Linked DNA regions of Saccharomyces cerevisiae S288C. The gene in region 1 interacts genetically with each later gene. Each region holds a gene or a part of one and is shown on either strand. Other genes may lie near its edges.

Region 1 (7,574 bases):
AGCACGGTCCTGTAAATCTTGAAACCATGTCTTTGCACATTGCAGACTGGATACGTCTCCCAATTCGAATACAATCAAAGCAATATTCGCATCTCGATAATACATTGGCACCAGTGATTTATACCGTTCCTGACCCGCCGTGTCCCATATCTCCATATGGATACGTTTCTCCGTAGAGGAGTCGTTAGAAGGAACCTCGATTGTCTTGGTGATGAACGCCGCACCTATCGTAGCCGCATGTTTTGCTAGAAACTTACCTGATTTGAGCCTAGTCACTATACTGGTTTTCCCCACTGATGAATCTCCTAGCAGTACCACTTTGATGGTTGCTTCCATATCGTATTCCTCCGTATTTTGTGCTACTTGTATTTCCTGGAGTAATTTTACTATCATTGTTCCTTAACGTGAAACGTAAGGCTAAAAAACAATAAACGACAAAAAAAAAACAAAAAAATGAAAAATGCAGAGGAGTTTCTCTGCATTTACTGGAAGCGATTAAATAAGATTGCCTCAAGAAAAGAAGTTATCGGTATAATCTTTTGTAGGTAATGAAGTTTACGTTAGAAGACCAAGTTGTGTTGATCACTGGTGGTTCACAAGGTCTTGGAAAGGAATTCGCCAAAAAATATTATAATGAGGCTGAAAACACAAAGATTATTATCGTCAGTAGGTCAGAGGCTAGACTGCTGGACACATGCAACGAAATTAGGATTGAAGCTCACCTGAGAAGGGAAACCACTGACGAGGGCCAAGTGCAACATAAGTTGGCTGCGCCCTTGGACCTTGAGCAACGGTTATTTTACTACCCATGCGACTTGTCCTGCTACGAATCCGTGGAATGTTTGTTCAATGCCCTGAGAGACTTGGATTTACTCCCTACACAAACGTTATGCTGTGCAGGGGGGGCTGTTCCTAAGTTATTTCGTGGGCTAAGCGGACATGAGTTGAACTTGGGTATGGACATCAACTATAAAACAACTTTGAACGTGGCACATCAGATTGCCCTTGCAGAGCAAACCAAGGAACACCACCTCATCATCTTTTCTAGTGCCACCGCGCTTTACCCATTTGTGGGCTATTCCCAGTATGCGCCTGCAAAAGCTGCAATCAAATCACTGGTAGCAATCTTAAGACAAGAACTGACGAACTTCCGTATCAGTTGTGTTTATCCTGGTAATTTTGAAAGCGAAGGTTTCACTGTAGAGCAGCTAACGAAACCCGAAATTACAAAGTTGATCGAAGGCCCCTCAGACGCTATCCCATGCAAACAAGCATGTGATATCATTGCCAAGTCGCTGGCCAGAGGTGATGATGACGTTTTTACAGATTTTGTCGGATGGATGATAATGGGGATGGACCTTGGGCTCACCGCAAAGAAAAGCCGCTTTGTTCCGTTGCAATGGATTTTTGGTGTCCTATCAAACATTCTGGTCGTGCCATTCTACATGGTTGGCTGTTCCTGGTATATCAGGAAATGGTTTCGTGAAAATGACGGCAAGAAGGCCAACTGAGAGCACATCCACTCTCATTCCCGATATTCCCCGTGACTCTCTTTATTTCTTTCAAGACAAACCCTAGTGGTGTAGCTATTTGTACATGTATAAGTATATACGAAATATTAATTATAACATTATTACCACGGCGATATTTTCCTATTTTTATTCTCTTTTCTTACTATATTTTGAAAGTTTTTCTTATGGGTACCGATGCGATGAGGTGAAAAAAATTTTCCTCTTTCCACTTTTAGTACAGGTTATGAGATGCTTCTCATTAGAAGTCAAGAAGAGAGCATATCAGTAACAATACGATGAGTAGCAGTGGTGTTTATACGTGTAATTCATGTGTCCTGACCTTTGATTCAAGCGACGAGCAGCGGGCCCACATGAAGTCCGATTGGCATCGCTACAATTTGAAAAGACGTGTTGCACAATTGCCACCAATATCATTTGAGACATTTGACTCCAAAGTGTCTGCAGCTGCTGCCAGTACTAGTAAGTCTGCTGAAAAGGAGAAACCTGTTACCAAAAAGGAGTTGAAAAGAAGGGAAAAGCAAGCATTGCTCGAAAAGAAAAAGAAACTGTTGGAAATTGCCAGGGCTAATATGCTTGAAAACATGCAAAAGAGCCAAGAGGGAAATACTCCCGACCTAAGCAAGCTCTCTTTGCAAGAAAATGAGGAGAACAAGGAAAAGGAAGAACCTAAGAAGGAGGAGCCTGAACAGTTGACCGAGGAAGAAATGGCGGAAAGAGTAATGCAAGAAAAGCTACGCAACAGAGTCGATATTCCACTGGAACAATGTCTATTTTGTGAGCACAATAAGCACTTCAAAGATGTTGAAGAAAACCTGGAACACATGTTTAGGACCCACGGGTTTTATATCCCAGAACAGAAATATCTAGTCGACAAGATCGGCTTGGTAAAATACATGTCGGAGAAGATTGGTCTTGGGAACATTTGTATTGTTTGTAATTACCAGGGGAGAACGTTGACCGCTGTAAGACAGCACATGTTGGCAAAGAGACACTGTAAAATTCCCTACGAAAGCGAGGATGAAAGGTTGGAGATATCTGAATTCTACGATTTTACAAGCTCATACGCAAACTTTAATAGCAACACAACACCAGACAACGAAGATGACTGGGAAGACGTGGGCAGCGACGAAGCCGGAAGCGACGACGAAGATCTGCCACAAGAGTACTTATATAACGATGGTATAGAGCTGCATCTACCGACAGGCATCAAAGTTGGCCACAGGTCCTTGCAAAGATACTACAAGCAAGACTTAAAGCCCGAGGTGATACTGACCGAAGGCCAAGGTACCCTGGTCGCTGCAGAGACGAGATCGTTCTTACCTGCCTTCGACAAAAAGGGCGTGCAGACTCAACAGCGTGTTTGGCAAACTGAGAGGTTCGACAAGAAAAGGCTCGATAAGAGAAGTGCCAAGTTCGTCAATAACCAACCACACTACAGAGACCAACTTCTGCAGTAATTCTTTTTGCACTACTTTTTTTAGTATTTTGTCGCATATATACTGCTTCACCATTTGTACATTAGATAATTCTTCACTACCCCCTCTATAGCAATGTTATAGTCATTGAATCATGCTTTGAAATGCCTGTTCTAATATTCTCTTCATATAATAAATGCGTGATGCCGGGTATTTGTGCGCCCTTGTTTGGCGCAAAAATCTCGAAAGTGAAAAAACTAATAGGCTTCTTAAAGCAGTTATATCTACAGCAAAGGAAATAGCTGCTGAAGACTGAAGATGTTGGCGCGCAGTTTGGGTTACAGGTTGATATCGACCAGTCGTATCTTATATAATAAACCCACGGTTAAGTCAGTGGTGTCGTCGTGTCCTGCGGGAACATCGCTTAACTTAAACATATGGAAGAGCGGTAAAGACGCAGTGGCACTCGAGGACAAGGAGTATCCAAATTGGTTATGGAGCGTATTGGATAGTGATCACGTTGTCGAACATGCGGCTGAGGACCCAGAGGGACAGGCTCTCTTAAAGAGAAGAAAGAACATAAGGAAGGCGAACAGGCAGCGAATCAAGCAAAACAATTTCTTGAGCCAACTTTAAGCCTCCGTTAATAAGATCAAGTTTGGTATCCTTGTAAATAAATATGTGTGTACGTGGTTAAATAGTATGTTTTTAGCATAATGCCTTATTTTGTACCAACAAAAACATGATAGTTCCCACATATCTTTTCGCCTGGGGAATACCAAGTGGGACAAACAAAACGTTAAAAATTAAATCCTTTAGAGTACCACAAATTCGCAAGAAACAAGATAGTTGAATTGTCAATCATGGCTAAGATAAGTATGAATGTGCCCAGTGTAAAGATCAAAAACATGCCAAAGGTAAGGTTAAAAAGCACTAGAAAGACTGTCTCCACGAAAAACATGCGAAATAGGTTCAATTCATACTCGAAAAGAATTCGAAGGACGCTCACAAGAAAGAGATTTTAGGCAAACATGAAACGTATGCATTTCATAACACACACATATATATATTATATATTCAAAATAAAGCATAACAACATACATATTGAAAAGTAAATTGAACGTTACGCAGTTTCATCAAATAAGAATAGTATTATTAAAAATTGGCCGGACCAAATATCTAGAAATCCGTTACTCTTCCGTTAAACGAATAATCGCCGTGTCTCAACGGGTCCTGCTTGGGACCCCCAACTTCACCAGTCTTGGGGTTAACATCACCTTCGAATTCAGGTATGGTCTTGGAAAATTCAGGCGAGAATGACCCAATATCGTTTTTGGTTAAAAGCGGTGAATTCAAACTCTCCTTTGTACGATCGCCGGTGGCCTGCGCATTATACTGATCTATTGCCTCTTGCGATGTGGCAATCCTCTGAAGTCTTTCGAACTCTTCCTGCTCTTCTCTTGGCAGCTTGGGAGGGCCGGGGATCCTTTCAGTAGTTATTTTTCGGGTGGCCATATTAAATGGTCGTCCACGTAGTAGATTTAAGGCTCCCGTGCGAGGATACCGATAACCTGTGCTTTTGATGGCGCACAACATTAGTTCTTCTTTTTATTATTTGGTTCTTTCTGACTCTTTAGCAAGTTAATATGATCTGCACTTTCCCCATTGGCCCCTTTATAGGGCGGAAAAGAGCATCTGTTTTTCCGGATTCTTGGAACAAGAAAAAGGAAATACACCTATCTATATGCCACTATTGTATATTACTAAATAAAATATTTAATTATATACTCATGCGTATGCCCTCAAGAAGTTCACCAATAATTCTTTGGTTTCTGCTGTTACCTTTTATGGTATTCAGGATCCCAAAACACTGCAGCAGCGTCAGTTTATCTTCCTCTGTGACGCCGTTCTGTTCTTCCTCGCTGAAAATATATCTTTGAAAACTCTTACTGGCACCGTCATTTGTATGTAGGAAGCTTTCGTAATACGGAAGAATGATGGAGTCTCTAAAACACTTTAATAAAAGGACATCAATTGACGGTGCGTACCTTGAAGGTTCAGATAGATATCCGTCAAGCCAGTAGTTACTATTTTTTTGGAAGCTTTTCTCGAAGGGCAGTAACACTGCCATCATGTCGTAGTAAACCTGTTGGTAAAACACCTTCCAGATTATGCCGACTCTTTTCAAAGCCGTATTTACGGTATCCTCATTGGCATAATTGAACACAATCTGGTTCTCTAAAATGTAAAGTGAAGTGGTAATGAATTCCTCGATTTCGGCCAAAAACCTTGAGTGCGTTACGGCAGCCTTGGTTTGTGTTTTCAAAGTGATATAAAATTCCAGCAGCCGGTCAATATCTTCTATTTTTGCTGGCAATTGCCATACCCTCTTGTTTTTAAATAGCTCCACAACTATGCTGCAGTATATACCCCAGATATTCCCCTCCAGAACAAATAACTCCTGTACGGTGAAGCTTTTATAGTTTGCTATCAAGGATGGCAAGTTTTTCAGTAAATCATGTAGTAAAGAAACATTAGTCGCGTCGAAAGCATCATCTTGGATCAGCGATAGAGCTGTATCATTAGGGTTGTTGTTAATGCTAGGGTTAAAGGAATATACAGATTTTCCAGAGTCAATAAGGCCTCCAGTAGAAGTATGGATAAACTGTACGGGTGACCTATGTTTACCATATGAAGAATGCAGAAATTTACTGAATGGGCTGGGAACTACGGGTTCAACGTCGTCTTTACCAATGGAATTATGCGGCTTGTAGGGTAAAAGCTTTTTTGCCATTTTGCTAAAGACATTACTGCCTTTGTTTGAATGAGAATGTCCTGTAGACAGTGAAGATTGTAAACTGTTCACACTCATATTAGATTTCGTATGAAACAATTTAGAGCCACTCCTACTTATGTTGTTACTACTTGTGCCGGTAATAACAGTGCCGTAGTTTTTTGACCCGCTCCTGCTTCGATTTCTCATATTATCTTTTGAATTGGTGAAGATGGACAGTCGCCTTTTATTGCCCCTTGAGTTGGAAGAAAATAAACTATCATTAGACGTGGTGTTCCCCTCCATTCGGTTACTACTTGATGAACCTATTTCGGAGTGACCATCGTTATTCTCCGTGCCTTGGCTGTACTCCTCTTCAATCGAATCCGTCGAGCGCCTTGCATTGGAACCATCATGGAATATAGATTGAAACCCCACCTGTGACCATCTAGGAGCGGCATCATGAGGAGATTTGGATGTTTTTAGATGCACATCTTCGTCGGGATGTGTCAGCGCTTGCGGTACTATATCAGAAGAAACACTATAAACTCTAGCTGGTTTGCGATTAGTTGCTTTTATGTTCGGGTTCGTGACGCTCAGTGAGCCTGAGGTAGCACTTCTTTTACGATTTAGGTCTGTTGCCATTGCTTGACTCTGTAGTTTAAGACTCGCCTAGCCACTTATGCTTATTGTGGTTTGTATTTTTTATTTACTGTCTTCTATCTTTCTCCCTTTAATTTTGACCTTATTTTAAAGCCCGCAAAGATCGCTGAAAAATTGCTAGTAAAGGTCGCATGCAAAATGGATAAAGTGCTCTTGTCAAATTATTTCAACACCTTCATTCGCAGTATAGTGGTATATTGGATTGGGTAAAGGAAAACAGGCGACACCAATATTGGTTTAAGCTAGTAGCGTATGCAGCTCTATCCAGGCATTAAAATTGGTTCACCTATTTCTGATAGTAGTTTTTTTTTTTCCAATCGTAAATTTTTTCTTCAATTTCGCGATGAGCTACAAAATAATAGTAGTGCAATCTGTATATTACTTTTCAAGTATCTAACTCATGCAAGTTAGGAGTTCCATAGCGGATATTTCACTATGTTTGATCCTCTCGATTTGTACACCCCTGATGACATCCAGGTTGAGGCTTTACAGTTCAATCTAGCAGAGAGAGAGCCAAAAGATCCTTGCTCACCGCAACGTGACGAAATATTAACGGCTGTAGATGAAGAAGAGAGTGACGACGATGACACCATTATCGATAATCTGGATCTGCCCTCCGTGAAGTATGCTCCGCCAGAAGTTATCCTTTGTATACTAATACTTCTGAAGCCCGATAGACAAGTAAACTTCAATCAGGAGACAGGGAAGAACAAATCTGTACTGGAGGTTTGCAAGAGTCATGGGCTGGAACCCGATCTGCTGAAAAGACTTTTGACTTGGTATACAGAAGAATGGCCTAACAAGAGGTTAAACTCGTTGGAAAAGATATGCAATAAAATCCCAATGCTGAGATTTACAGTATCCAAAGAACTACTGTTGGGCTACTATACTAGTGTATTGAAAAAATACAATAATAGTTGCGGATTGAATGAGGAAATCATACAAGAACTTCTTAAGGAATTGAGCTCAAGGATATCCGAAAACTGTGGGAGAACGGCCCAACCATCCATAGTAAGATATTTTGAATTAAGAAATCTAAGCACTTCCATACCGCTTCATGAACCCTCTTTAACGGCCGATAATCTTGGTTGGAAAACATGGGGATCATCTTTAATACTTTCACAATTAGTCGTAGATCACCTGGATTACCTACATACCACTAATGTGAACATGTTAGCGAACAGCGACATC
Region 2 (9,037 bases), on another chromosome or scaffold:
TGGAACTGTTTTCGTTCCTATTATTATTCCTGTTCGCGAATTTTCTTAACTTCACTTCCTTTGCAGACTCAATTTCTTTGTTTAATAAGTTGTTGAAGTCATCGCTGGCTTCATTATTAGAGTCCTCCATTTTGATTGGTTTGTTAATCTAATATTGATAGTTTTTTTTTTAATGTTCTTCTCTCTCTTCTTCCTGTTTTTTCATGGCAATAATTTTGACTAGTTTTTCTTTTTTTTTTTTTTTTTTCATTCTTTTTCATTATTACTTAAGTTCTGTAAAGATATATGGAAGAGAAAATAAAAAGAATAAAACCAAAGATAGTGGTACAACTGACGTTATCTGTTTCAGACATAAATGAAAAACTTCTAGCCTGACAGCCCAGATCACTTTACAGGATTTTTAATAGTAAATATAATAGTAAAGAACCTAATATCCAATAATGTACATTCTTAGTAACTAGCCAACCGCAGTACCCGATGACTGCGTCACCAATTTGTCCAATCAGGCCAGAGCTCCATGATAAAGGATACTTTTCGATATGTAAGGATAACGGCACTGGCGTCCCTGTAGACCTTGGTAATCTTACGGTAAGATTAACGGGTTGATGATCGCTAAATAATAGAGCATTGGACCTAGGGACGGAATGGTAAGTACCTTCTTGTGCGAAAGTTGGCACTGCATAGCTTTTGTAGAGAATCCTATCGCACCACGACGGGATTCTTTTTGTATTATATGTTTCCTTTTCAAACAACTTGAATTTGTATGTCGGTGGAAATGTTATCTTCAGCTCCTGAAAACCTTTGCATAACGGTTCATCCTCTCCTTTACGTAGCAGATTTAGTTCTTCATGATTTTCTAATAGACGCCTTAACGTTGTGGTGGACGAATAATTGGTAGTTGGATCATAAGTACTAGTAACCCTAAAATTCAAATCGCCTAGAAAGAAAAAGTGGTCGCTTTTTGCAACCTCAGAATCACACACTTCACTCATTATTCGTTTGTAATCATCTATTCTTTGATTTCTATTGTTGACACCTTCATTTGCATTTAAATGAGCACAAATATAGCTAAATCTTTCCCAGTTCTCCTCGCCATTGCGTGTCATCTGAAAACTTATCAAAGTTCCACCTTTCAAGTGTGTACCAAACCAACCGCATTTCCCATTCCGTTTCAAAATATCATCTTTTACCTTTAGCGCATTATTATTGTATAATACTATTATGGTAATCGCCCCAAGACTATTCACCCCTAAACATGAATACTGCTCATCCCCTTGTGTAGCTGACACTTTTTCATTCAGACAATTAACCGCAGTAGTTGTAATTCTATCGATTAAATCACGATTAACAGCAGGGAAGGAGCCTTGCCATATGGGGACTACTTCTTGGAACCCCAACACATATAGATCTTGCAATTCCAATTGGGAGATGCCGTCATCGTAGGGGAAAAGCAATTGCTTAACGATTGCTTTCGAATTTTCAACGGGAAATTCCTTACCACAATTGAATGTAGTTACAGATACCTTCCAATTCGTTTTGTTCATTCGGTCAGAATCCTGCTGTATTTTCTTGTCTCACTTTTCTTCTTTGTTAGCCTACTCTTACCTCTTCAGTTTTGTTCTTTTCACTGTATTTTCCTTTTTTCACGCTATAACAACAATAAAAAAAGGTTATCATTTAACTGGTATGTACATACACATACACACATATATATATGTACTCATATATTTATGTCTATCAATAAAGTAAAATATATGTTATTTAGGCGTTTCTTGACTGAATGACATCGCATGATGTAGACACCACCAAGTCATGTAACTCGCGTGGGCCACTTGACGCTATAACTCCCTTCGTAGCTAGCGTTCTACCGTTACCGAAGTCTAGAGGAACATCTTCCATGGCATCTGTATGGATACCTCCAGCTTCATGGACAATAACGTTGCCTGCAGCATGGTCCCAGATCTTTTCTTGGTAAGAAAGTTTGATAGGCAGACGTAAATATACGTCTGCTAAGCCCAATGCTAACAAACAGTACTTGGCTTGAGAATCCAAGTGCAAAGATTTGGATATATTTAGTTTGTTTTTGATAGCAGTTTGTTCATCATGAGAGGAGTGTCCCTTTTCAACTCCCTCTAAAGTAATCATGTCTTTAGTGTCTTTTAAGTGTCTAACGTGGATTTTGGTCCATGACTCTGCATCTGAAGATGGAGAATAGAAGGCACCTAAACCTCTAACAGCACGAAAGATATAACCAAATGACTCATGGCCTTTCAAATCTTGGGCCCCATAAGAACTTAAAACTAAGTTGGGGCATCCAATACAACCAAGCTGAACAACACCGTCCACAATTAAGGCCAGACATACTGCAAACTGTTCACCTCTTAAAAACCCCTTGGTTCCGTCAATAGGATCCAAACACCAAAATCTTCCTTTTCTACCACCTTCGTAATTGCCGAAATCGATGATTTGCCTGACGTCCTCCAAAGATTTTAGCGGAAACTGATCGTTTGTAAACAGAAAATCATCCTTTTTATAATTCTTGTTATAAACTTCGTCATTGGCTTTTATTTCGTTTAAAATTCCTGAGACGAATGCGTCGCTCAATCCTGATGAGGATTCTTCACCAACTACCTTATCATCAGGAAAATTGCTCTTGATAGCATTTATGATGATCGTTTGTGCAGCATAATCACCTGTGGTTACTGGAGAATTATCATTCTTGGTAATAGTAGTGGAGTCCTTGTGAGAAATCACTTCAGATTGAATTCTCTTAGTCAATAAAGACGCCTTTCGTACAGCTTGAGTTGCAACCAATAATTCTCTTTCCAATGCCATAGTAAAGTGCTGATGTCTTCTGAGTTGTCTTTAAACTTCTTACTTACTAACTAATAAATTAAAGAGAAGTGCAAACGTTCTTTATATGTGGCATGGTTTCTTCTTTGCAAACTGAAAGTAAAATCGCAACACGTGATATTGCTCGTCTGAGTCATTCGCGCATTTCAATGAAGGAAGGATTATTATATAGATGGCTATGTAAATGTCAAAATATGCTATTGTTGAGTTGTTCCATGCTCAGTTGTGATCTTGAATGCCCTCAAGGAGCCTCTTGATGCTACGTATAAGGTAGCATATCCCTTACGTTTTAACTCTTCACTGTCAGATGCATAAGTGTAATCTAGTCCGCAAATATCACCCATGGGGAAATAGACGTCGCACACGCCGCAGTATGTGTCCGAGCTCTCTCCATCTGCACCATACATTGGTGCGTCAAACAAGTTCCTGTTACATCTGCACTCTGGACTAGGGTTAACAGGGTCTTGGACTTCCCATCCAAGAATATACTCTTGTCTAAACGAATAGATGCCTCTGTACTCTGTTAGTCTTAGTAATGAAATGAGACCCAATTGTGAAGCCACGGCTATGCAATTTAGTTCTTTGATGTGACACACAAAATTTATTCTGTTTAGTGCTTGGAGCAGCGACTTGGAAGCACACGTCACAACACCATCTAAGGGAAAAATCTCATGATGAGTTGCTGATATAATTATGAGTGGATTTGCTTTCATCAACACCAGCCTATGGGCTGTGGTTAGGAAGAAGAACTCGTCGTGCATTTCGGATAGTTGATACCCAAGAGGCGAATCTTCTGAGCCCGGTACTGCTGACTCTAATAACCGCTTGACGTTTCTTACATAGTTGTGGAACCCCCAAGATTTCTGCGATTCTGATTTCAAGTGAGCACGCTGTTCAGTATCCCTATATCTTCGCTGGAAACTTGTTAAGCTGCTACCAGATTCTTCATTTTCAGGGTCGCTATTGACATCGTCCTCTTCTGTAGAGTTCAGTTGAAGGCTACAAATTTCTGGGTCCTTCAAGACCGTGTTCAAATCCTTGCCAAAAAGTGTTCTCCAATCGGCAGCGGCATCGGTGTTGTACCATAAAAAGTTTCCCGATTCAATATTTGGTATATGATTTACTGAACTTAGCGATTTGAACTCTTTTGAAGTTCGTAGTTGTCTTTGTTTATCCATTTTCAAATTACGAATACTTCTATTAAATTCGCGAGATATATCTTCAATATCATTTTCGAGATCAGTAAGTTTATAAGTAGACGGCTCACAGATCTTTCTCCCAGAAGTGTTTTGATATTGCGATGTTTTATTTCTTCCACTAGGAGTTATCAACTGTGGAAAAGTATTAATAATATCCTTGTATTTCGAAAATCCACGCTCAGTAGCACGATAATGTTTATAACCAGAATCCTCCCAAAATGTCCATTGGTGTAAATGCTGTTCACATGAGGTGTTTTTTGTCACTGCATCATTCATATCGTCTAAGTCACCGGCATGTAAAATAAGTGCAAAATCCTCTCTGCTGTACTCGTATTTTATCGAGCCCGTTGTAGTGTAATTTCTATCAAATGAGGTAAATCTTAATGGTATAACTTCATCGGGGATCCCTGCTGAAGAAGTCAGTCGTAGGTCTGTGACAGGAACCTGAAATTGATTGAGTAATGTACCAATACCGAAATTCCCAGAGAGGTAGGCGTTATCACAGTAATACCCAAGTAAAAAATCATCTCGGCAAATAGAATATAACATGCTTTCTTTGAAACCGTCTTGGTAGTTAAGATTCAACAATTCGAAATTGTCAACTTTCGCAAAATCCTTCTTAGTCAGTGGAGTTATTGTCCATAAGTCGTCGCCAAAAAATTGAGTATCAAGGAAACTCGTTAAAATGGTACAATCATGCTCCTTTAATTTAACGGTAACAACATTCCCAAATATAGAACAATAACTTAATGTAATATATCCAACAGAATCTTTTGAATTAGGAACAAAGTTAACACAAGGAACATTGTGAGATGAGGGAAGATCTAGAGGCCGAATGTACCGTCTTTCCTTCTTTACATCTTTATCGAATGCAAAGACTGTAACTCCAGGCTTGTTATGGCCAACAGCGATATATATGATGCCATTTATATCTATTACATCAACACTCCAACAAGATTCCTCTACTCTTAACACCATATATGGATCAACATTTATGTATCTTTCCCGGCTGTTATCTTTGCCTCCCAAGATATCCGAAGTAAATTTATTAAATATCTTAATAACTTTGTTGATTTCCCAGATATAAACGATTCCGTTGTCACCGCAAGCTAGTAGAAAATCTTGATGCATGAAGTTACAAATCTTCATAAAGTTGATAGAACATAGTTCAGGTATGCTGTTGAACTGTGTATCCTTAAATTTCACATATGATGAATTGCGGAAGTTTCTTACATCTCCGTCATCTGGTATTATCACGGGCAATAAGGCGTGACATATTTCTAATGACGAAACGTTCAATAGTATATCGAAATTATGAACTTCGACGCATTGACCGGCAGCCAGGAAGGAATAACTCCCATAAGTGACGAACAAATTGTTCTTGAACTGCAAACCACCATAAGCAAACCTATTTGTGTATTGAAAAGGTGCGAACTCTAGTGGTATCTCTTGAACAAGTAGTTTTTCGTCCTGTGGCAATAGTAATTCAGCTGGATTCAAAAGCCTTGATGGTCCCCAGACGGGTTCTAAGTTGGAAAATGCAGATTTAGTATCCTCCAAGAAGGCTTTCTTGAATGAGTAAGCAGGATTTGGGATTTTCCATGAAGAGTCATGTTCTTCTAGGTTGTGTAATCGTTCTTTAATAAACTCCACGGTTTTTGGATGAAACGAATTGCAACTGGAGTTTGGCCACTTGAGTTGATAATATTTCTTTAACGTTATTATCTCATTCGTTATATTCCAGCCACCAGACGCCAGAAATACTTCTGAGTCAAAGCACTCTCTTGTCGATACTGCCCTTTGTATGATGGCCCGAGACTTAAGCCACCTTGTAAAGAGATCATCATTTTCATTGGGAATCTGAGGGGGCATTATATTCAAAACCAAATTTTCAAGCCTAGAAGTACCAGTGCCTCTTGATTGCGCTGTTGATCTTCATTACTATGGTGTTTTTGGTGTCTTGTATGGTTTTTCCATGTTTTTTCCCTGTTTTCTTTTCAATGAAAAACTAAATTGCATGTCTCTCATAATAGAAAATATTCAATATTAACAAAATGTGCATTCTAAAGGAAATTACTATAAAAAATACAGGCATGATAAAAATATATGTACACAAAAATTACGGGCTAGTACCTCACCTCGTAAGAACCGGCTTTCGATATATATTTAATCCATTTTACAGCACGATGCTTACTGTCTTTTCCAGAAATGGTAAAGTATCGTACGACTAAGCCAGAATTACTGAACATCATGACCTCGAATTCCAGGGATATTGGAGGTCTTGTCCATTGTTGAAGATTCAATTGAGTAGTATCACTTGTGGACACAGTAACTGCACTTAAAGTGTTTTCCGTCAACCCATTGTACTTGTTGAACCTCCAAATCATTGCATTTTCTTCTGGCACAAACTTACAGTGGCCATTAGAGACACTTATCTTACAATCCACAGTGCTTGGTGGAACGGGTATATGTAGTACCACATCTTTGGCGGAAAGTTTTCCAGGAAATAAAGACTTCAATGTTATCCTGTAATCAATCTCGTTATCTCTTGTAGAATGTGTAACAATAGGTGTAACCTTGAACGGCAGGTTTATGTTATCTCGTACATGATATTTCATCAACTCCATCGAACCGTCTGGTGGGACGAATTCAATGATATGATTTCTGTTAAATTTGTCAAGTGAGACACATTCGTGAAACTTGCAATCTTCCAACAAAACACTACCGGCAGCAGCTTTGGGAATGAAGTTCTTGTTTCCAAAATCGCTGCCAGAGTGACGCTGCTGCTGTGCTAACCATTTCTTCTCGTCTTCGGACTGCATTCCCAAAGAATCATTCAATCCAAATCTACAAATAGGGGTCCCACTCAAGTGTGTGGTGATATCTATGGTGCCATCAACGTATGATTTCAAGATAGAACCATCCCTAGATACCAGAATGTTTATCCTCTCATTGACATACAAGAAAACTTCATCCTTCTTGTGTATTATCCCCTTGGGCCTCCAAGTGATCTTATTGTTATCATAGAAATCAGAAGTGGAGTCTCCTTGACCCAGGAAACTACTGCTTCTTTTTGTCAAAAATTTGGGAAAATGTAGTTCTCCTGCTGAAGAAGTAGGAGATGAAGAGGAAGATAATACATCATTTCCATCGGGACTATCTAACAATCCGCCCATATTTCTAACGGGTTTCACAGACATCTGCGCTATAACAGAGTTCAATTCAGTGTCAATTGGTATCCCATTTCCACCCAACATTATATCCAGCATCTCATGCACAATCATGAATTCCTCTTTCAAGGCCTCCTCTCTATCCAATCGATAAGCATTCATCACTGCATCAAGCTTATATAAGAACTCCCAGATCGCCGCACTATTAGCGTTGCTTCTCGTAATGGTTACCAACCACAAATTGTCACCATGCCTCGACCTGATGTGATGGAAAGTAGTTGAGCCCAGTGTCAAAACAGGCGATCTAACATCTAGATTATTGATCACTTGTACTCGGAAGATATCGGATATGGACCGCTTCAACGAGTTCTTGAAGAACTTGTTCAAGACAAGTTCACCTCTCGATGAGTATACCAGCACACCACTAATCATTGCTCACCATAACTCTATGTGATTCTTTTCTCCAACCGTTTATGAAAGGTTTCCACACTTTATCATCAAGTTCTCCTATACTAATCAATTAAGGAAAATATGGCTGTTACCCTTCGACCGCAGTTGAAAAAAATTTTCTATCAAATAATAAATGGCTACGATTAGCGAGAAGGGCTGGATGAGATGAGAGTAAGTTGGTCGAAAGTGACTTTGTTGGAGGTTGCTACGAGGCTAGGAACGCAGTCTGGATGTCAATGAGTAATATTGTTGTTTTTGGAGGGGACTCGCACCCCGAGTTAGTTACTAAGATCTGTGAAAATTTGGACATTCACCCATCGAAAGTAGAATTAGGGAAGTTTTCTAATGGGGAAACGAACATTGCTCTTCGCGAATCTGTTCGTGAAAAGGATGTATATATCATCCAGAGTGGTTGTGGCCAGGTGAACGACACGTTCATGCAGTTGCTGATTTTAATCAGTGCCTGCAAGTCCGCTTCTGCCTCGAGGGTTACAGCCGTAATGCCATATCTCTGCTACTCGAGACAGCCAGATATTCCATATACTGCCAAGGGTGCTCCCATAATTTCCAAGCCTAAAGAAAACTATACTTTTGAATCGCATCCAGGCACACCCGTGTCATCTTCTTTAATGACGCAAAGACCAGGTGCTGAGAGCTCGTTGAAGAGTTTGGATAGTGCAATACGATCAACTATCAACTTAGAAAATCCTCAACCTATCAGAACACCAAACAGCAGTGCTACGGCGAATAACAATTTCGACATCAAGAAGACGCTTTCTTTTTCAAGAATTCCTATGATTCCCGGTGGTAAGTTACAAAATACAAGCAATAGCACGGACGCTGGTGAATTGTTCAACGCTCAAAATGCAGGCTATAAGCTATGGGTAGTACAAGCCGGTACTTTGATTGCTCATTTGTTGAGTGCTGCAGGTGCTGACCATGTGATCACAATGGATTTGCACGATCCACAGTTCCCTGGGTTTTTTGACATTCCAGTGGATAATCTCTACTGTAAACCCATTGCACAAAACTACATCCAGCATCGCATTCCAGATTATCAGGATGCTGTGATCGTTTCTCCAGATGCTGGTGGTGCAAAGAGAGCTACGGCTATTGCAGACGCCTTGGAATTGTCCTTCGCCCTAATTCATAAAGAAAGAAGATCTCAGTTATTGAAGGGCCCTCCAGATGCGACGTTAACCTCTGGTGGTTCGTTACCAGTATCTCCAAGGCCATTAGTTACTACTTTGGTTTCCTCCCAAAATACTACTTCTTCAGGTGCCACTGGGGTTGCGGCCCTTGAAATGAAGAAAACAACTTCAACATCTTCCACCTCGTCGCAATCTTCTAATTCGTCCAAGTTCG
Region 3 (7,403 bases), on another chromosome or scaffold:
GAGCTTTCCAAGCAAGCATAAAAGAGTACAAAACTGTTTGGACCGCATCTCCAAGGCTTGATCCCGAAACAGGCTTATCCAGGTACCATCCTAACGGTCTCGGTATTCCTCCGGAAACTGAAAGTGATCACTTCGATACCGTTTTACTACCATATGCATCGAAACACGGCGTTACCTTAGACGAATTTAAGCAACTTTATAACGATGGTAAGATAAAGGAGCCTAAATTGGATGAGTTTTTTCTTCATGACCGTGGCGTTAGAGAATCTGGACACGACACTACATATAGGTTTGAGGGCGTATGTGCCTACCTGGCCACTATTGACCTGAATTCTCTTCTTTACAAATACGAGATTGATATTGCAGACTTCATAAAGGAATTCTGCGACGACAAATATGAAGATCCTTTAGACCATTCTATAACAACTTCAGCTATGTGGAAAGAAATGGCCAAAATCAGACAAGAAAAGATTACCAAATATATGTGGGATGACGAGTCGGGGTTTTTCTTTGACTACAACACAAAAATCAAGCACAGAACGTCATACGAATCCGCAACTACATTCTGGGCATTATGGGCTGGACTTGCCACGAAGGAGCAAGCACAGAAAATGGTGGAGAAAGCACTACCCAAGTTAGAGATGCTTGGAGGTTTAGCTGCATGTACGGAGCGTTCTCGAGGCCCAATTTCTATTTCGAGACCAATTAGACAATGGGACTATCCATTTGGTTGGGCACCCCATCAAATTCTTGCTTGGGAAGGCCTCCGTTCTTATGGTTATTTAACTGTAACGAATAGGCTAGCTTATAGATGGCTTTTCATGATGACAAAGGCTTTTGTCGATTATAATGGTATTGTGGTTGAAAAATATGATGTCACAAGAGGAACAGATCCTCATCGTGTTGAAGCAGAATACGGTAATCAAGGTGCTGACTTTAAAGGGGCAGCTACTGAAGGTTTTGGATGGGTCAATGCCAGTTACATTCTTGGTTTGAAGTATATGAACAGTCACGCAAGAAGAGCGCTTGGTGCTTGCATTCCACCAATATCATTCTTTAGCAGTTTAAGGCCTCAAGAAAGAAACCTCTATGGACTATAGTTGAGATAATATATATATATATATATATATACTCCAGGTACAGTCCTCTAGGTACCTAAATCCTCTTTATATGATCTGCCGATAGATAGTTCTAAGTCATTGAGGTTCATCAACAATTGGATTTTCTGTTTACTCGACTTCAGGTAATGAAATGAGATGATACTTGCTTATCTCATAGTTAACTGGCATAAATTTTAGTATAGGTTAACTCTAAGAGGTGATACTTATTTACTGTAAAACTGTGACGATAAAACCGGAAGGAAGAATAAGAAAACTCGAACTGATCTATAATGCCTATTTTCTGTAAAGAGTTTAAGCTATGAAAGCCTCGGCATTTTGGCCGCTCCTAGGTAGTGCTTTTTTTCCAAGGACAAAACAGTTTCTTTTTCTTGAGCAGGTTTTATGTTTCGGTAATCATAAACAATAAATAAATTATTTCATTTATGTTTAAAAATAAAAAATAAAAAAGTATTTTAAATTTTTAAAAAAGTTGATTATAAGCATGTGACCTTTTGCAAGCAATTAAATTTTGCAATTTGTGATTTAGGCAAAAGTTACTATTTCTGGCTCGTGTAATATATGTATGCTAATGTGAACTTTTACAAAGTCGATATGGACTTAGTCAAAAGAAATTTTCTTAAAAATATATAGCACTAGCCAATTTAGCACTTCTTTATGAGATATATTATAGACTTTATTAAGCCAGATTTGTGTATTATATGTATTTACCCGGCGAATCATGGACATACATTCTGAAATAGGTAATATTCTCTATGGTGAGACAGCATAGATAACCTAGGATACAAGTTAAAAGCTAGTACTGTTTTGCAGTAATTTTTTTCTTTTTTATAAGAATGTTACCACCTAAATAAGTTATAAAGTCAATAGTTAAGTTTGATATTTGATTGTAAAATACCGTAATATATTTGCATGATCAAAAGGCTCAATGTTGACTAGCCAGCATGTCAACCACTATATTGATCACCGATATTAGGACTTCCACACCAACTAGTAATATGACAATAAATTCAAGATATTCTTCATGAGAATGGCCCAGCTGTTCCTTCAACATTTGAAGAAGATCTGAAATGACCTCGAGTCTTTGATTTAAAAGTGAAACGCGCTGATTGATCTCTAAGTAACCTCTTGTTGCTTGGTATATGGGTTCTAACTGTGGTTCTGACCACATAATTTCTGGAGAGTCTAAAACTGATCCATGTAGATTGATATTTATCCTCAAAATGAATAGCTCCCCTATACTTTTCATTATATCTTCTTTGCTCATAGAAACTTTACCGCTGTATGCAATTTCTTGTGGTATATCCTGAGTATCTTCAATAGTATTATCCACAAGCTCTTCGAAAAGTGAAATTTTTACGCTTTGAGCAATTGCATGAGAGATAGAGAGTTTTACCATGTAATTTGAACCATCTCTCAAGGTAATAAAATCGTTATATATTCTTGGTTGATAACTTTTTGTGACATAATAATTGAACTCTTCAACTTGAATATCTTCTTCCGCCAATTTTTCTTTTTCGAACTTTTCTATATCGTTTAAGAAAGCTTTTTCTTCTCTTTCAGTAAACCCCCACATAACGACAACACCATATTCAAAGATAAACAGATCTGGGTGCTTGTCACTAACAATAATTTCACCGCCCTCATCATCCAACCTAATCACATCTTCATCCTCAAATCTTTTGTCGCCCCTCCAATCGTTGTAAATGAAGGGAGTGTACAAGCATTCATCAAACAATTTAGGATGAGTATGATGTAGCTTTCGACAGTCCTTTAACCACCTTACCAGCTCTTTCATATTGTAACTGCTAGCAGTACAATATGCAGTTGACCTGGGGAGTAAATGTCTGTGAGCTTTTCCCAACTTTTCAGCATCCCTTCTAGCAGGCTTATCTTTTATCCTGTTTACCTGAGAATATACTTCCTGATTCTTTAAATCAGTAAGTCTTTCGCTATCTCTTTGGAATGGTTCTTCTGGCAAAAGTTTTAGTTTCTGTGCTGTGCGTGATGTTCTTTGAGCGCCCGATCCTGTACGACTTTGTTTACTTGTCGGGTTGATCATGGCACTTCCTGTATACGATGCTCTAGACTTTCTTGTATCTTGTGGGGTAGGTAAGTACTTTTTTTGGACCAGTGATGGCCTACTGTTATTTGATGTTTGGATGTCATTATGAAGTAATGCATGGCGTTCCGGTTGATCATCATTACTATCTACCATGACTAATTGAATATTAAATGTATTTAAAATGCTAATTTAAGCTGAGTAGTAGTTGGACAGATTTGTTTAGCCGCAGTTACGGTGATAGTCGGCAAAGGAATAATTTTACGGTTACTTGATATATTTTCGTGCTAAGAAATCTTGTGCACGAAAGCGGACAAGGTATTGTCAGCAGTTTTTCGCCCTAAATCGCATTATCAAACAGAAAAAACAAGAATACACCAGTAAAGCAAAAGGAGCCGACGGTTCTCCATTTTCCTTAGAAAAAAGATTTTCTTCTGAGAAAGGAAGGATTTCAATTAAAATATAAGGAAATGATTACCACGCACATATATATTAAATCGTTCTAGGGGCTAGAATTGGATGAGAAGCAGCCAGGATATAGGTAATAGTAACACATAAGAAATGTCAGTTGAAGAAAAAAAGCGCAGACTTGAAGAATTGAAAGATCAGAATGTGGTGCTTGGACTTGCAATCCAAAGGTCACGACTTTCGGTGAAAAGACTCAAATTAGAATACGGTGTTTTACTGGAGAGGTTGGAATCCAGGATAGAACTTGATCCTGAGTTAAACTGTGAGGATCCATTGCCGACTCTGGCCTCCTTCAAACAGGAACTATTGACGAAGCCATTTCGAAAATCTAAAACTAAAAGACACAAAGTAAAGGAAAGAGATCCGAATATGCCCAAGAGGCCCACAAATGCATACTTATTGTACTGTGAAATGAATAAGGAAAGGATTAGGCAGAATGGCTCTCTGGACGTGACAAGAGATCTGGCAGAAGGTTGGAAAAATCTTAACGAACAAGATAGGAAACCGTACTATAAGCTTTATAGTGAGGACAGAGAAAGATACCAGATGGAAATGGAAATATATAATAAAAAGATATCTAATATAGATGCGGATGATGATAAAGAAGAGAATGAACAGAAGATAAAAAATAACGAGGAAGGATCATCTACAAAAGTAGCTGATTCTAAAGGAGGTGAAGATGGAAGTTTAGTTTCCTCTAACTAAAAATTAAAAATTCCATTTTTTTCTATTTTCTTTGAAGATATCGTAAGACGTTCTAGGCGCTTTATCCAGAAATTGTTCAACTTTATTGTTTTGTATATTAGATAAAAAGTTGAGCCTTTAAAAACTGCATAATGTTTCCTCTGGCTGCTAATGTACCAAAGCTAATGGAAAAGAAGATTGTTTGGCCTGGAAAACTTTCTAGACGTGGCTTTATTACCAGGGTTGTGTAAGATTATGTAAGATGGTCAGTATGTAGCACTTACAATGGACCTTTCTTCTATTCCCAAGGTTTCCATGAGAAAATTTCGGCTTCACCGGTGTACGTGGGCAGACGATTCCTAATATCACTATTCAAAATAATACAGCAAGTTTTAGAATAAATACTACCCATGCACCAGCGTGTAGAGTTGCCAAGATCATTCTGCCTTGCGGCCAGTAGTGGCTCTACCGCATTAGTTTGAATTTTATCGTATTTTGTGAATATTAATATTAAATATTGACAATTTTATAAATTAAAGTCTTTGATCTATATATGCATCAGCTTATTGGGTCCACCAAGAAATCCCCTCGGCGTAACTAGGTTTTAAGCATTGATAAACCTTTCAAATAGTGCAGGTTTGGCGTCTATTTTAATATTTCCGAATGCTTCTGTTTGACTCAAACCAATACATCCTTCTGTAGCAAGTGATAAAATATCGAAAAATCCTCTACTGGCTTCTCTTTTAGTAATATTTTCTGGTTCTGTATTTGCTTGACTTTTTAGTACATCCGTGAATATTACTTCTTTTTCTTCGCTTAATTCCTTCCTTAAAATCTTCGCCATTTGAACAATAGCTTTAGAAGCCACCTCACCGGGAGTAGGACGAACTTTTTCAGTTTGGATGGTAGTTTGCTCATTTCTAGTCTTTGCGTCGATGATATTCTCTTCAGGAAAAGGAGCCTCATTTAAGCCAGCATCAATTGGTACGAAGTCTGACATGTTATCGGTCAGTTCATTGAAGGAGTTATCGTTTGTTCCCGCATTACTAATTACATCGTCGGTAAGATTAAGCGACACGTTTAACTCAGGTTCTTCAATTGACCCTTCTCGCCCATTATGTATTTTTCTTTTTTTTAGAGATTCGTAGGATAAGAAGTTCTTAAGGATTGGATCTGGTAAATAGGACATACTTTCAGTTATTTCACTCCATAATCTTTTAGTCGTAAAATTGGTGGGCTGTGGAGTCAATAAATTATTCGATCTCTCCTCTTTGTATGTATTGGATGAAGCTATGCTTTCTGAATTTTCTGTTTCTTCATCGATTTGAATACTTTTGGTATTCAGTAATTTTGAGTTCCTTCTTGTGCCAGTTTGTTTTGGCTGTGATTCTGTCATGGCATCGGTTATCGTATCTATATTGCCTGCGGGTGCTTCTTTTTCTATATCCAGATCAAATCCAAAATCCGTAGGCTCCTCAGACATGATTGATTCACCTAGCCTTCTTCCTTGCTCAACAGAGTTATCGTCATCATCGTTGTTCTGGTCATTTTTTTCGGTAATCCCTAGATCCCAACCAATAGTTCCAGCATCATCAAGAGGGAAATCGTCATCTTGTATGTAATTTTCGTGCGTATCAAAGTTGCGTGAGCTTTGTCTTGTTCCTTCTTCCCAAGATTTTGAAGTTATCGGACCTTCCTCGATGTCAAAATCAAGGTTCATACTAGACAAATTATTATGTTCGAAATCTTCATCTGGACTGAATCGTCTACCGACCTCAAGTGAAGTATCCCAGGGAGCAGCACCTTGGACTTTTCTTTCCATCGAATTCTCCTGCGCCATTAAGCCCACTGGTATAGTAGTATCATCTAAGAACTCTAACCCTGGGGTGACCAAAACTTCTCTTTCTGTAACGGCATCTTCTAACATCAATTGATGAACCCTTGTTACAGTGTTCAGTCTGTTTACTGTAGAAGTCATCTTCTGGCTTGTTTTAAATAACATACTTATCTTCGTTAATGTGTCCTTTATATCTGTAAGGAGAAAAGTGGCCTGTTTGGAATATACACGAACAATGCCTTGAAGTAATTCGCCAGATGTTCGTAAAGTTATGTATTCATTGTCCCCTGATTCGTCATCACAGCCAGAAGCTTTTGCAATTTCCTTTGCTGATTCAGCAATATGTGTTTGGATAACCGATCCTCTTGGTATATTCGACATATTTGAAGCAAGCCATATTTGTGCTAATGGACCCTTATTGGTGGCAAGTCTTAAAACAGTAAGACGTTGAGGATTTTCTGTAACCATTGTCGTGTTTCTTGTAAAGTAATTGTGCAATTGAGTTGTCTTTTCTTTGACCAGTCCTTTTTTGTTATGGATTTTCCTTTTATTGGTTTAACAATTATGTTCTCGTGACAATGGGAAAAAGGTCGGCGATTTAAGCAATAATAATAGCAAAAAGAATACTTTTTAGCACCCTATATATATGTACATATATATATATATATCATAATGAAGACAAATTCTGCTACTTTTGATACTGTATACCATACGTATGCAAGCACTGTGAGAGTAGAAAGACGCGATTTTCTCGACGCGTCCCTCCTCGAGTTATTTGTTTAGCATAAATTTTCAAACGCGAAAAATTTGAATTTCTTTTTCATTATATAATAAACGCGTTTGAAGAACATTTTTGCAGTGGTAATTGTTTTTATTTAAGAGGCCGGGAATGAAATCATCATCTCACATCCAGTCTACAGGGATCTTTTTCTTTACAAACTCTTATTCGCATAAACATTCATATTTTTGATTAGGTAATTGGAGTTCCATCACCATCAATATAGCAACTAATGAACATTCATTCTCAATTAAAAGCACCTTATTATGGAGGCTCCTTAATTTTCTTGTTCTCATACTTTTATAATCAGATATTTTGTTGAACTCAATCTCCCACTTTATTCGTGATTTAGTGTAGAACAAACTTTGGTGTAATTACTGACACGAATACGAGGAAACACTGGTTTTCGCTGGGGCATGAACGTTTTTTTCATTTTTTTAGAATATACGGCAACAG
Region 4 (4,588 bases), on another chromosome or scaffold:
TACCTCCTTTGTTTGTGTTTCTAAAGCACTGTGACAAATCCTGCTTGAAAGCACATGATATCACCAGACGTGTTGCACTATCTTCAGTTCTATCCTAAATTGTTTTCCAGTCTTAAGATAAAATTCATTCCAGTTCGGGTAACATACACCGTTTATGACTGACGCTTCTCTTTACGGAAAATTGTTTTTTTCGCTATTGTTGCAAAAGTACAATGGAAAATGCCCCACTGAAACATGAAATAAGAAGAGAAGAATCAAGTTTATGCAAAATATTGTTAGAGTAACCGCAGCAGATTGTGATACTCAATTAGAGAGATTATTACAATATATATATATATAATGATTACATGGACGTTAATCGTTACATAGAATTAAACCACGCGTAAGTATGGGGTAATCATGAAGTAGACTTCAGGGTTTTTTTCTTTTTTCTTTTGAAAATTCGTTTTGTTTGACTCTTATGTATATTGGGAAGAAAATATGGAAGAAGAGTTATTGAGATTATTTCAAAACCTTACCGTCAACAATTTCCTTATCTTCGCCATTGACAACAACAGGCTTATCCCAAGCCCACATGTTGTTGACAAATTCTTTGTCTTCTTCCTTGGTTGGGTCCAACTTGGTGTATTCGTAAGATTCCCAGTCTGGAGCGACATCAAAGGCTGGAGCGAAATCTTGGCCTCTGACCATAACGGCACCAACAATACCATTATTGTTGTTTTCACCATAGACAACTAAACAACCGAACATGTACTTAGTAGAAGCGGACAATCTGTTGAAAAAACCACCGACCAAGTTGTTGGACATGAAAGTCAAGGTAAGTTCGTCGTTGTATTTGTAACCAACCTTCCAGATGGAGTATTCTTCAGGGTTGTAGTGTTCCCAGAACCATGGCAAAGCAACTGGTCTGGTGTCGTCGTTGGAGTACTTTCTCTTCCAGTCATCCAAGACAAATGTGGACTTTCCTAAAGCTTCCAATGGGTGCTTTGGCTTTTTAGCTGGAGCAGCATCATCTGCTGGCTTAGCTTCGTCCTTCTTCTTTTCAGCCTTTGACTTTTCGGCCTTTGGCTTTTCAGCCTTTTGCTTCTTTGGTGGAGTGTAGGTTAGAGCCTTTTCAGCCAATTTGACTTCAGCAAATGGAGTCTTCACGATTGGAGAAGCAGCAACAGTGTTGAACCATCTCATCAAATGAGGATGCTTAGCTCTCCATTCAGGGCCCAAAATAGTGGCCAAACCAAAAGCCCAAGAACCAGCGGCATGAAGGTCACCTAGAGAAATGTTTTCGGTAGCAACAAAGGTGTAGTCTCTCAATCTAGCATCGAAGACAGCAGCTAGGTTGTCGATTTTAACAAAACAAGCATCAACGTCTTTCTTGTTGTATGGAATCAAACCTTTGAAAGAAAGGAATGGACGAGCAATGTTGCTCATGACATCGGAATTAGCTAGAGATGCCCATCTAAGGATTTGAGACTTTTCGATAACGTCGGAACCTAATAAGCGAGCTCTTTCTTTTTCATCGGCAACTTGATTAGCCACTAAATATACATCATCTCGATGGTTATACAACCATTAATTGAAGAAATGTTAGTAAAACAATCCTTTATATTTTTTCCTGGATTAGGACACGCTTTGTACTTCCTTTTTGTTATTTTGACTTTCATTTTTCTTTAAGAAACATATCAGAAATACAAATATCAACATATGAGAGGTTACCTATTATTACCCATTCAGACAGGGATAACTGTTTGATAAAATTTTTTTTCATCATTATGTTTCGAAGAAAAATGACGTGCCAAATAAACGAACGGGAAACGCGCAAAACAATGTATGTGGAAGTGTTAAAATAAAATATGGAACATACAATAAAATTGGATAGCCAAAGCTTCAGTTAGCTTTAAGCCCTTTGGACCCAAAAATGCAGGGGCTTGCTTCAATGGGAACAAAGAAGCAAACTCGCTAGATTGTTCTAGATCAACGATCTTGACATCTAGTTTAAAGTAAGAAATCAAAGCTTCAGAAGCGTAGTTTCTTGGAGATCTATTAATGTATAAAGTACCTTGGGACATCTTGAATCTATCGAGGGCCAAAATCAAAGAATTGAGTTGGTATTAAGGATGGACACCAGTTTTGAACAAAATTAACGACGGAATGGATGAATTAAATATGAAAAAGAAAGTATTGCAAACTGTTGATGAAAAAAATTTTTCTTTCAATTTTGTCAGCAGCAGAGCGCATTACCCTGCCGGCCACATGCCGAATTAAATTAAATGAGGGCTGCTATTGCCAAATGTGATGGCTTGCCTACAGAGGTTAATTTCCCTTGTTTTGGGCTTCCTCTCTCAACACGATTGACACAAGCAATAGAGGCAAAGGTGTGTAATGAGTTCGTGTACCAATTAAAGTAAAGTAGAGTGGTTTAATTGGGATTACACGATTAAAAAGTTTCACCCAGACACCAAATTGAAAATTTTTTAAAATGAATTCTTTTTATTCTCATCTCCGGTAAAGAAAAGAGGAAAGTACAATAAAAGAGATGAGATGACCAAGAGATGAATAACAAGTGAGGACTGAGACGTTGTTGCAAGTGATAAAGAAAGTCCGGGAATTGAAAGATATAGGAGACTGAGATGAGTAATTCACTTGAGGAGCGCCTTCGTGCTAATTCAAGCGCCTTCGATGGTTTATTGGCTTTAATTCCTGCAAAATACTATTATGATGAAAAAAGTCAAGAGCAATGGAAGGCCAAGAAGAAAACCAAAGAACAGAGTAAAAATGATAAACTGAAAAAATTAGACCCGGAGCAACGTGATGATGAAACATCTAGTACATTAGAAGTAATGAAGAAGAAGGAGAAAGACGCAAAGCCGGTGGTCCTACCTGGTGAAAAATTCAAGCACATGAAAATGCAAAAGCAAAAGGAAGCAACATCAAAAGTGGAAGGAGACTCCGACCTGAACGTAGAAGTAAACGATCCTATGATAATAGCACCAGACGAAGATGAAGAAGAGGAAGAGGATATTAAGGTGATCTTTGATGATGAGGGAAATGAAATACCATTAGAATCTAAAAAAGATACTACAGAGCCCGATAGATCTGTCGAAAAGAAGTCTATTACAGAGGAAGAGAAACTACAAAGAAAGAAAAACTTGGAAGCACTACGTTCCAAGTTACAAGCGAAAATTTCAGATATGAAGAGTAAAAGGAAAGCACCCGGTTCTAGAGAGGCTATTCTTGCTCAAAGGAAACGCAAGGAAGAGTTGAAAAAAAGAAAGCGTCTAGAAAGTGAACAGGAACAGGATCAGGATGAAATTGCGTCTGATTCCGATATGGAAGACATCGATAGTGATTTAGAAAACAATTCGAAAAAAAGATTCAAAAAAGGCAAGAAGGACTCAGAAATTAACGCAGATGGTGTAATGTTTCAAAATATCATATTCGATGATGGTGCAAGGGCCACTTCAGATTTACAAAGGTTAAGAAAAGCTGGTAGAACGAAGGGTCCGGCTAAGAATGATGTAAAATCACACTTAAAGTTATTAGAAGCCAAGAAGAATAAGATGGAGGCGAAAGACGAACTAGAACAAATCAAGCAGAAGGAAAAGGAAAAATGGCAAAAGGCTATGTTACAAGCAGAAGGAATTAAGATTAGGGATGACGAAAAACTACTTCGCAAAGCTATAAAGAGAAAGGAAGCACAAAAGAGAAAGTCTGCGATTGAATGGAGCGAACGTAAGAGGGTTGTGGAAGACACGATATCTGAAAGACAAAAGAGAAGAGAAGAGAATCTGAGGATTAGGAAAGACAACAAGGGTAAAAAGAGAAATAAGCAAGAAAAGATGAAAAGAAAGTATGTCGGTAGTGCCGTACCAAAGAAAAGAGCCGGATTTGAGGGTAGATTAAAAACAGGTAAAAAGAAGGGAGGACCTAAATAATAATCACGATAATAATAACAACAATAATAGATATATATATATGTATGAACATATATATACAGATACATATATATATATATATATCTATATATATACCATCGCATTTTTTCCTTAACGAGAAGAGCACAGCAGAGCTTAAGATGGCATGCATTTATAGAACAACACTCAACACATAGCGGGGGGAGGGTTCTGGAAATACAAATGGTAGTGCAATTTACAGCCTGGATTAAAGGGGGATCTGCAATTGGGACAAATAAGGTTTGAATTGTAGTCGTAATACTCTGCAAACGTCATTTCATGACGGCAAACTCCGCAAATAATCAAGTGTTTATTTGCATCGTCAAGGAGATCATATTTTTCTAGCGGGTGAGAACTTAACTCTTGGTGGCATTCAAAGCACGCATAGTACTTATCACAACATTTAAACCTGATGGCAATTACATCCTTTGGAAGATGCCAGTGGACACATCGAGATTGGTCATCCACTGTCTTACCATAAATGGCAGTTTCGATCATCTATATTTGCAAATTGTAAGTGGTACGTATTTTTTTTTTTATATCATATATGTATATTTAAAGAAACTCGTAAACCGAAACGTTTATTCATCATTATCATCATCATCATCATTATCATCACCATCACACCGCGCGCGCCT

Evidence for each region.
Region 2: mutations in REI1 (region 1) and CRT10 together harm fitness more than expected from each alone (negative genetic interaction), as found in Saccharomyces cerevisiae (2 studies listed by BioGRID).
Region 3: mutations in REI1 (region 1) and RMD1 together harm fitness more than expected from each alone (negative genetic interaction), as found in Saccharomyces cerevisiae (2 studies listed by BioGRID).
Region 4: mutations in REI1 (region 1) and TEF4 together harm fitness more than expected from each alone (negative genetic interaction), as found in Saccharomyces cerevisiae (2 studies listed by BioGRID).

The regions. Positions count from the first base shown.
Region 1 is NC_001134.8:738,034-745,607, forward strand, and holds REI1 (Rei1p), read left to right. Parts: upstream 1-1,807; coding exon 1,808-2,989; downstream 2,990-7,574. Other genes in the region: Rab family GTPase YPT10, read right to left, coding at 1-336; TSC10 (3-dehydrosphinganine reductase), read left to right, coding at 549-1,511; SLM6 (Slm6p), read right to left, coding at 1,903-2,355; mitochondrial 54S ribosomal protein mL54 MRPL37, read left to right, coding at 3,266-3,583; SDH8 (Sdh8p), read right to left, coding at 4,127-4,543; BIT2 (Bit2p), read right to left, coding at 4,728-6,365; EFM2 (S-adenosylmethionine-dependent methyltransferase), read left to right, coding at 6,819-7,574. UniProt on the Saccharomyces cerevisiae protein: Pre-60S-associated factor involved in the cytoplasmic maturation of the 60S subunit. Involved in the dissociation and recycling of other late pre-60S factors like ARX1, TIF6 and ALB1 before newly synthesized large ribosomal subunits enter translation.
Region 2 is NC_001147.6:204,342-213,378, forward strand, and holds CRT10 (Crt10p), read right to left. Parts: upstream 5,925-9,037; coding exon 3,051-5,924; downstream 1-3,050. Other genes in the region: bifunctional DRAP deaminase/tRNA pseudouridine synthase RIB2, read right to left, coding at 1-130; phosphoinositide 5-phosphatase INP54, read right to left, coding at 390-1,544; MET22 (3'(2'),5'-bisphosphate nucleotidase), read right to left, coding at 1,762-2,835; APM4 (Apm4p), read right to left, coding at 6,179-7,654; ribose phosphate diphosphokinase subunit PRS5, read left to right, coding at 7,903-9,037. UniProt on the Saccharomyces cerevisiae protein: Substrate targeting component of a cullin-RING-based E3 ubiquitin-protein ligase complex RTT101(MMS1-CRT10). RTT101(MMS1-CRT10) may regulate nucleotide synthesis through transcriptional regulation of RNR genes encoding ribonucleotide reductases.
Region 3 is NC_001136.10:443,917-451,319, reverse strand, and holds RMD1 (Rmd1p), read right to left. Parts: upstream 3,337-7,403; coding exon 2,044-3,336; downstream 1-2,043. Other genes in the region: alpha,alpha-trehalase NTH1, read left to right, coding at 1-1,100; NHP10 (Nhp10p), read left to right, coding at 3,742-4,353; MCD1 (kleisin alpha), read right to left, coding at 4,937-6,637. UniProt on the Saccharomyces cerevisiae protein: Required for sporulation where it is believed to have a role in meiotic nuclear division.
Region 4 is NC_001143.9:280,369-284,956, reverse strand, and holds TEF4 (translation elongation factor EF1B gamma), read right to left. Parts: upstream 2,067-4,588; coding exon 1,862-2,066; intron 1,773-1,861; exon of another isoform or gene 1,678-1,772; intron 1,536-1,677; coding exon 502-1,535; downstream 1-501. Other genes in the region: ribosome biosynthesis protein RRP14, read left to right, coding at 2,628-3,932; HOT13 (Hot13p), read right to left, coding at 4,098-4,448. UniProt on the Saccharomyces cerevisiae protein: Subunit of the eukaryotic elongation factor 1 complex (eEF1). Probably plays a role in anchoring the complex to other cellular components.